Linked DNA regions of Danio rerio. The protein of the gene in region 1 interacts with the protein of each later gene in a pairwise test. Links are inferred from orthologs where the notes say so. Each region holds a gene or a part of one and is shown on either strand. Other genes may lie near its edges.

Region 1 (3,834 bases):
GTTGAATGACATTTGTCCTGGGAGCACTGTACCAATGTGGCGGCGCTATAGACGCATGCTCAGGGTCCCTATGCGATATCTAGTGTATATATCTATGTCACAAATTGAGGAGCGGGGAAAGGAGGCGGGGTGGTGTGACAACGCGGGGAATCCTTCACAAACTGAGGAGCGATCACAAACCGAAAGTGGCGAGAGCGTCAAGGTAGCCAGAAGTCATTCATTTTTTTAACGAGAACCGGCGGCAAGAAACAGCGGCGCGTCTTCATTGGCTATGACGCGGTTCAGCGGCAAGCAATCAGAATGAAGTAGTCCACCGCTTGAGCGGAGTTCAGAGAACACAGACCTGTAAACTTTGGTTCCGACCACAGTTGTTCCCAAGAGTTTGATTATTGCGGTTCCTGGATTTTCAATTATTGAAAATCGCGACGACGTGGGGCCCCCTAATCACGCGGGCCCCCCCCCGCGGTGCGTGCCCTGCGGGCCCGTCCGCTACGCCACTGTATAAAATATATTTTCCCAACAACAAAATTGTGGCTAGTGAAAATGGCGAGTGGCTAGTAATGTTGGAAAACTACTAGCCAAAGTGGCTAATGATCAAAAAGGTTAATGTTAAGCCCTGTATGTATGTATGTATGTTTGCATGCATGCATGCATACATGCATACACACACACACACACACACACACACACACATACACACACACATACACACACACACACACACACACACACACACACACACACACACACACACACACACACACACACACACACACACACACACATATATATATATATATATATATATATATATGTGTGTATGTATAATGAAGAATATAGTTTAATATAATCTATCATGTAGTAAAATTTCATTAATTTGATAAATTTAATCATTTAGCAGCAGGCACTTTGGTCCAAAGCAACTTACAAATGAGGAGGCATTCAGCAATTCTACATGAAGAAGCATTACAAACAAGAAGTGCTACTTATGAAAGGAACTGTTAGTCCTCAAAGAAATATGAGCTTGAGTATGGAGGGGGAGGGGAAAGAATACCACCTCTGCTTCATTTTGAGCCAGGAAAAACCCTGTATATGTATGTCTGATGTATGTCTATGTGGCTGGCTGAATAAAATAATAATAATTCAAAAAATCTTACTGCCCCTCAATGTATTCAAATGCACACACACATAAATGAATATACAGTAATAGTAAAGCACAAGACCCATACTGGCACATTTTGTCCATTTATTGAGTTAAAAACCACATGTAAAATGAACATTATCTCTGCAGGAAGGAGTCATAACCCAAGACGTGATTCAGATGATCTTCTCTGAGGATCCAGACCAGCAGCTAATAGCCACTCAGAAGTTCAGAAAGTTACTCTCTAAAGGTTAATATCTTCACTGATTCTCTTATAAACTTAAGAATGACAGTCGTTTAATGGTACACTTAAAATGTTTTGTGCTTACCTCAGAGCCCAATCCTCCCATTGATGAGGTCATCGGCACACCTGGTGTTGTCAACCGATTTGTTGAATTCCTAAGAAGGAGTGATAACTGCACACTGCAGGTAAGAACATATCATTACAAAAACCTTGTGAATGCTACATTGCCATTACAGACCATTTTTATGATGTATTGTCGCATGCTTTGTCCAGTTTGAAGCTGCGTGGGCCCTGACCAACATTGCCTCAGGGACCTTCCAACACACCAAGGTGGTCATTGAGACGGGAGCTGTGCCCATTTTTATAGAGCTGCTCAACTCTGAGTACGAGGATGTACAAGAGCAGGTGATTATAATTATTATTATTTAAAAATAGATAGCCATTTTTAAATTCTTTTCAGCCAGTAGCTGGTTTATAAAAACTCCAGAGCACAATGAAAGTGTTGTGTATGGCTGTTTTTGCAGGCCGTGTGGGCGTTAGGAAATATTGCTGGCGATAACGCAGAATGCAGAGATTACGTCCTCAACTGTGGCATTTTGCCCTCTCTTCAGCAGTGAGTGTCTTCGGCTGATACCGAAACTGTGATTGCAAGCCTTTATATTTGGGTTTTTTGGGAATTGTGTAATATCTGGTGAATAGCTCTCCGTTATCTCAGTTGCGCAGGTTTCTTCATCTTTGCCAAGGCTGTTAAATGTCTGCCACACAGCAGTGTTCATTTTGTCAGTGAATAGTTATTTCAGCAAAAAAATTTCACGGATGAAAAATAAAAAATGTAATAAAAATGAAGCAGTTTTGAAATGACACTACCAGCGTTTTTAACTTCAGATGTAAATGAGTCGACAACAGGTCTGAGATTATTCTTATCAGTACATGATCAGAAAACTTAATTTTGTGAAATTGTAATATTATAATTGAACTAAGTTATTTTGGTTTTATTTATTCAATATGATTTATACTTGTGTTCAGGGGTGTAACTGATCATGGTTGATTCGTACAGATCACAACCCACAGTTCGGAACATGTGACCTGCAGATTTAAAAAATTAACTTGTAGATTGATCATAAATTTGTAACGATTGCAGAGAGATCGCCTTTTGGGTCGTTCAAATCACAATTATAAAAGCTTTCCCGTAAAATATAATGTTGACAGAAGAAGTTGTGGTATTCGGGGTGTTCGGGTTATTCGAATGTGGTGGGTTTCTTCGGCTATTAAAGGTGTTTTCTGTCACTACTTGTTTAACCTGCATCAATGCTTTGAGTAAGCTGCACTATTAATCATTAAAAGATCGGGATCTCAACATCCATACAACACAAATTATAAATGATGGTGATTTGCATGTTTATTAATTCTTCGAATCGCTGCATTCAAATCTGAAAACGCAAAAATCAAGAAGTTGAGTTGGTCATAAAGTTACAAACAGTCAAATAACACCGAAGTACTGGGGTAGCAGTTTATAGTTCAGATAAAACCCCTGGGGCCTCATGTATCAACGCTGCGTACGCACAAAAACATTGCGTACGCCAGGTTTCACGCTCAGAATCGCTCACGTTTGGATTTACTAACAATGAACTGAACGTGGGAATGTGCGCAGCTCCACGGCAGCTTTATGGCTGGCGTACGCACATTTTTTGTGCGTGTCTGTTTTATTTCCATTGGCGACTCCTAGAGGCAGTTGTGTTAAATTCTTCTCTACAAAGTGTCTGATCCTTGCAATGGCAGCTGTATGAGACGGGTTCATCTAGTAGGTATGTAAGATTTCCATACCATACAGTTGACCAGCTAAACATTAAAGCACAATTTGCAGCGGTCGCCTGTTTTCCCAATGTAATCTGAGCTATCTACTGCACACACATTGCTATAAAGACACTATCTGAAGATGAATTTGCAAACGTGAATCAGAAACATTTCCATTCAATAAATGTGCAAATAAAATATGATGCACAAACTTATTAATGATTCCTACTAGTCTTTCTCGTGATAAATAGTAGGCAAAATATGATATGTAGCGGGGGAAAAAAAGAAGATAGAGTTCATCTGACGCTGGATTCGAGCCGAGTTCATGCTCGAACGTGTCAAAACATGATCACATGCGTCTTACGAGCTAGCCACTGAGACTGTTCAGAGTGCTGCAACAGTTTACACATATAAACCACACTATTTCTTTTTTAAATGCACTCAGTGCGATGTTCAGACCCAACTGTGTCAACCGCATCAGCTAAACTCTCCCACTCTATTTTTTTTCTTTTGTTGTTAATTCCGAAAAACAAACTTGCAAATAACACCGCTTTTCTCCGATCTACCTCCGAAAGCAGCACCTCCAATTCACATTCTGTTCAAAGTTTCTCTTTTTGCTTGATTTTGCCGTTGCTTTTTCGTTGGGTTTTGCCAT
Region 2 (3,928 bases), on another chromosome or scaffold:
TTGTACACAAAATAAGTGAAAATTACCAATTATTTTTTTTAAACAAATGTATATTTAAACAAAAAAAAGTCAGCCAGTTTGGAACATGAGGGGCATTTTCCAATTTAGGTGAAATGATTTTAACCCTGTAAAACCTGACACGAATTAACAGTATAAAAATAAAAAAAAAATCAACATTTAGTAAAAATTTTAAAGAAACATTCATATAGAATTACACAAGTAAAAAGAAAGATCAAATTAGCAACGAAAATATATAAAAGTAAATAGTCTTTGTAAGACTTAATTTTTTTTTTAAAGATCAAAGCTCTGTGTATAGACATTTTTAGAATGGTTCAATTGGTACATAGAAAATGAAGTAAACCACAAGTTGTTTCAATCTATTAAGTGTTTCTTGAAATATTTCAAACTTTTAAAAAATTAATTTTAATATTTATCAATAAAAAAGTCTTTAAAATAATGTAGCAAAAAGACACTTGTAGACCCTTGATAAACAATCGAATGAAAGGGATGCTGAACATTGTGCACATCACATTTTATATTAAATTGTACATAACTTAACTAACCTAACTATATAACTAAATAATTTATATAATAATAAATAACTAAAATTTATAAGCTGTGATGCAAGTTAAGCTCCAAATTTCAACGTGTAAAACCATAATCTAGTTTGAAAAGGAAGTGTTTACAAACCAATGGTTCCAATGTGCTGATGTCTTTCAGTTTGTTGCCGCTTAGGTTTAGATGTGTGAGATTGGGGAGTTTTTCAGCTAAAACGTCAAGGCCACCAGAGATTCTGTTGTCGCTGAGTTCCAACTGAAAATAACAATACATCCATATCAAAACATATAACATTGTGCACATGTTTGAAAGATGGTAAACAATAAGAAAACTTTAAGTTACCTTTTTTAGTTTTCCGAGTTTAGGAAGGTTGGATACTGAGAGCAGACCAACATTTATCAAACTTAGAAATTCAAGATTAACAAATTCTGCTGTGAGGCCTTCAATTTTCCCTTCATTTGATCTGCAGTTGTCGAGGACAAGTTCTCGTACCTAGATTAAACAAAAGGTAAGAAATAAAAATAATAATAAAATACTGTTTGCAATATTAACAGGTTTCACCTGTAATAACCATAACAATCATGATTCAAATAAAAAAAAAAATTTATGTGACTTTTGCAAAAGGGGTGTTGGACACGTTGGCCATAAGCATGCCATAAAAAGGCGACAAACTATGCAGTTTTTTTTCTGATAGTTTCTTAACCAGACAAAACAAAGAACAGTCTTTGTAAACACAGTCTTAAAGTGTGTTGGGGATTTTGACACTGTGAGTGGTCGTAAGCTAGTTCGATGAAATTGTAGTCAAGAAACTAAAATGAAAACCACTGAAGGCTGTTTGTTAAGCGGTTGCTGCTGCTGCTGTTGTTGTATGGCCCTATGGCTCAGACTGTCGCAGCGAGTCGCCAATGAGAAAACAGCAGATTACACGCCGACAGCCAGACAACATGGACATATATCCGAAAGACACCGCCGTGTTTTGTTTAATTTCGTTTGACAAACAACAAATGGAGGGCATTTAGGAGCTCGTGTAAGATGGAAGCGATATGTCGATGGCGTATTCCTACAGCGAAAGACGAAGACAGAGCGGAAATTAGTGAGACAAAAATGGAGAGTTTCTTTCTCTCATGACAACATGGCGCCTCCTTGGATAGCTTGTGTTGCTGAAAAAACAACACATTAAACAAAAATCAAACGCTGCGTTCGAAAAACGTACTATAAGCTTCCGGCTATCAGGACAATATTTTACGCGATGTTTGGTGGATTTTAGAACTGACCAAACATTTGTACCGGTTTGTCATATCAAGTTAGCACATGTAACGTAACGTTAGCTTCTTTTTCCTCAGTCGCTGTTTTGGTCTCTACAAGTGTTATTTTATACTGTAGATCATTTAGACGTTTAAAAACAATCAAAGCGATCATTTATCTAATATAATGGTTAGCGTGATCGGTAGTGGCGCGTGGGAAGTAATGGCGGGAATCGGCGTCTCGCAACAGCGAGTAACAATTTAACGAATAAAACCCAACACGAGCTTTTTAATGAGTAATACATGCGTTCATGTTGCACGTTTTAAGGTTACTTTAGAGCATCTCTAGTCAGTCAGAAAAACTAAACTTTTCAAAAAAAATTTGTTAATTCATATAATCGACAACCATGTTACCCTTTAGAATACAATTCATATCGCGACTGCATGTTAGTCAGACTACACATTTAACTTTATTTTTTAATTGCCTTTCCTGATATTTTTATTTTTAGTTGAAAGAATACATACGCCGTAGAGCGATTAAGACCGAAATGTTACCGTATTTACGAAAATTTGTTAGCGTATGGTTATCTTCACAGAATATCTGATTTATTGCTTTAGCTTTTAAGTGCCTGTAATAAAGGGCGCCTCATGTTAGCAACAAACATGGCCACCGCGGCGAAATAAACCATCCCATCCACATCCTACCACGCCGAGGTTAAAATAAGCAGATATGAAGTTTAAAAAGAATACACGTAACGTATCCAGCGTGTGGGGCTTAGAATACTGCAATAATGCCTTCATTCAGCTTTCCAAACTAAGTAACGTTGCTGAGTGTACCTTACTCAGCCTGGTTCCTTTCATAACAAAATGATACGAATAAACATTAATGCAGTAGATGTACGCGCAGCACTTTCTCATTTAACTCTGTACCAGGGGCATTACACCCATGTGCTTACCATTAAACTACACACAAATCCGTGGAAGTAGAAAGTAGCAAGGCTAGCATGGCTGAGCACAAAACTAAAGGTTTGCCTCAAAATTACTCACATCAGATGGTGTCCTGTTCCTCAGCTCCAAATGAATCCTCTTTTTCATGTCCATTTCGCCCCTTAAAAGTTGGACTCTTCCCTCTTGGGTTCTGGAGGAATTTCTGTTCAGCCCAAAAGGTAGAAAGATGCCTAATGGAGGGAGAATATGGGACTGTATAATGATCTGAGCCCAGCGCCAAGTTACTCTGGGAGAGCAGAAACCATGGAGGGAAACGGCGCTGAAACTAATATATACTCAATAGCGCCATCTCTGGCCAAGCGCCCCCACTGCAGTCGAGTATAAGATCAAACACTGCTGCATTACAGTGTGACATGAAAAGATTGTCTCAATTTGATTCTTTGCACTATTATTACTTCATACTGTTATTGGTTGTAAAGATTACTTACAGTTTTATTTGATGTCATTTATTGTATTAAGAATAAAAAAAAGTTGTGCTGTACATTTTACCTTTTTTAGAAACCTTGAATAAGTCATACACTGAACTCTGACTTTTTTGAAAGACTGAGGGTTGAAATAACTTCTTTGTGTGGTTAAAGTGTGCACATTAAAATAAATCAATCATTAAAATAAATCATGCGTTATAATGTGACACTGTCATTAAATTTCAGTCAGCCAATAATTTATTTTAATATTAATGTTAAGTTTTACTAAAGAAATAATTATTGTTAAAAAGAAGACTCTCCCTCCATCAGCCATATACACATTTAAATACATATTTTAATACTTAATTCAGAATCTTTAATCACACATTAACAATAAATCGTGTTCTGGAAATCAAAGGTATATCACTAAGTATAACTCTTAGTTTTTTAAAGAGTTTAAAGTCTTCTAAAGTAATCTTTGTGTTTTATGATTTTATTATTTTAAATATAATTATGTACTTTATTTACTGTTATATACTGAGTCAAACTGAATATCATGATTTTATTGTTCCAAAGAAACTTGGAATCTTCAACAAGTTGCCAGGAGAGGGCATCATCTTGTTTTTTTGCCTCTACATTGTCTCATAATTCAGGTCTTTCATATTCTTCAGTATGGTGAGAAAAAAAATATAACAATGGACCAACTTCAAGCAT

The links.
Region 2: the proteins of kpna5 (region 1) and anp32b interact in binary tests that used the Homo sapiens proteins (3 or more experiments, as listed by UniProt). The two-hybrid records come from large-scale screens. The link is inferred for Danio rerio from reciprocal best matches to the Homo sapiens genes KPNA5 and ANP32B.

The regions. Positions count from the first base shown.
Region 1 is NC_133191.1:35,374,979-35,378,812, reverse strand, and holds part of kpna5 (importin subunit alpha-6), read left to right. Parts: intron 1-1,291; coding exon 1,292-1,391; intron 1,392-1,475; coding exon 1,476-1,570; intron 1,571-1,658; coding exon 1,659-1,790; intron 1,791-1,909; coding exon 1,910-1,998; intron 1,999-3,834. UniProt on the Homo sapiens protein: Functions in nuclear protein import as an adapter protein for nuclear receptor KPNB1. Binds specifically and directly to substrates containing either a simple or bipartite NLS motif.
Region 2 is NC_133176.1:28,299,853-28,303,780, forward strand, and holds the start of anp32b (acidic leucine-rich nuclear phosphoprotein 32 family member B), read right to left. Parts: upstream 3,071-3,928; 5' UTR 2,904-3,070; coding exon 2,850-2,903; exon of another isoform or gene 1,473-2,849; intron 1,051-1,472; coding exon 901-1,050; intron 814-900; coding exon 691-813; intron 1-690. UniProt on the Homo sapiens protein: Multifunctional protein that is involved in the regulation of many processes including cell proliferation, apoptosis, cell cycle progression or transcription.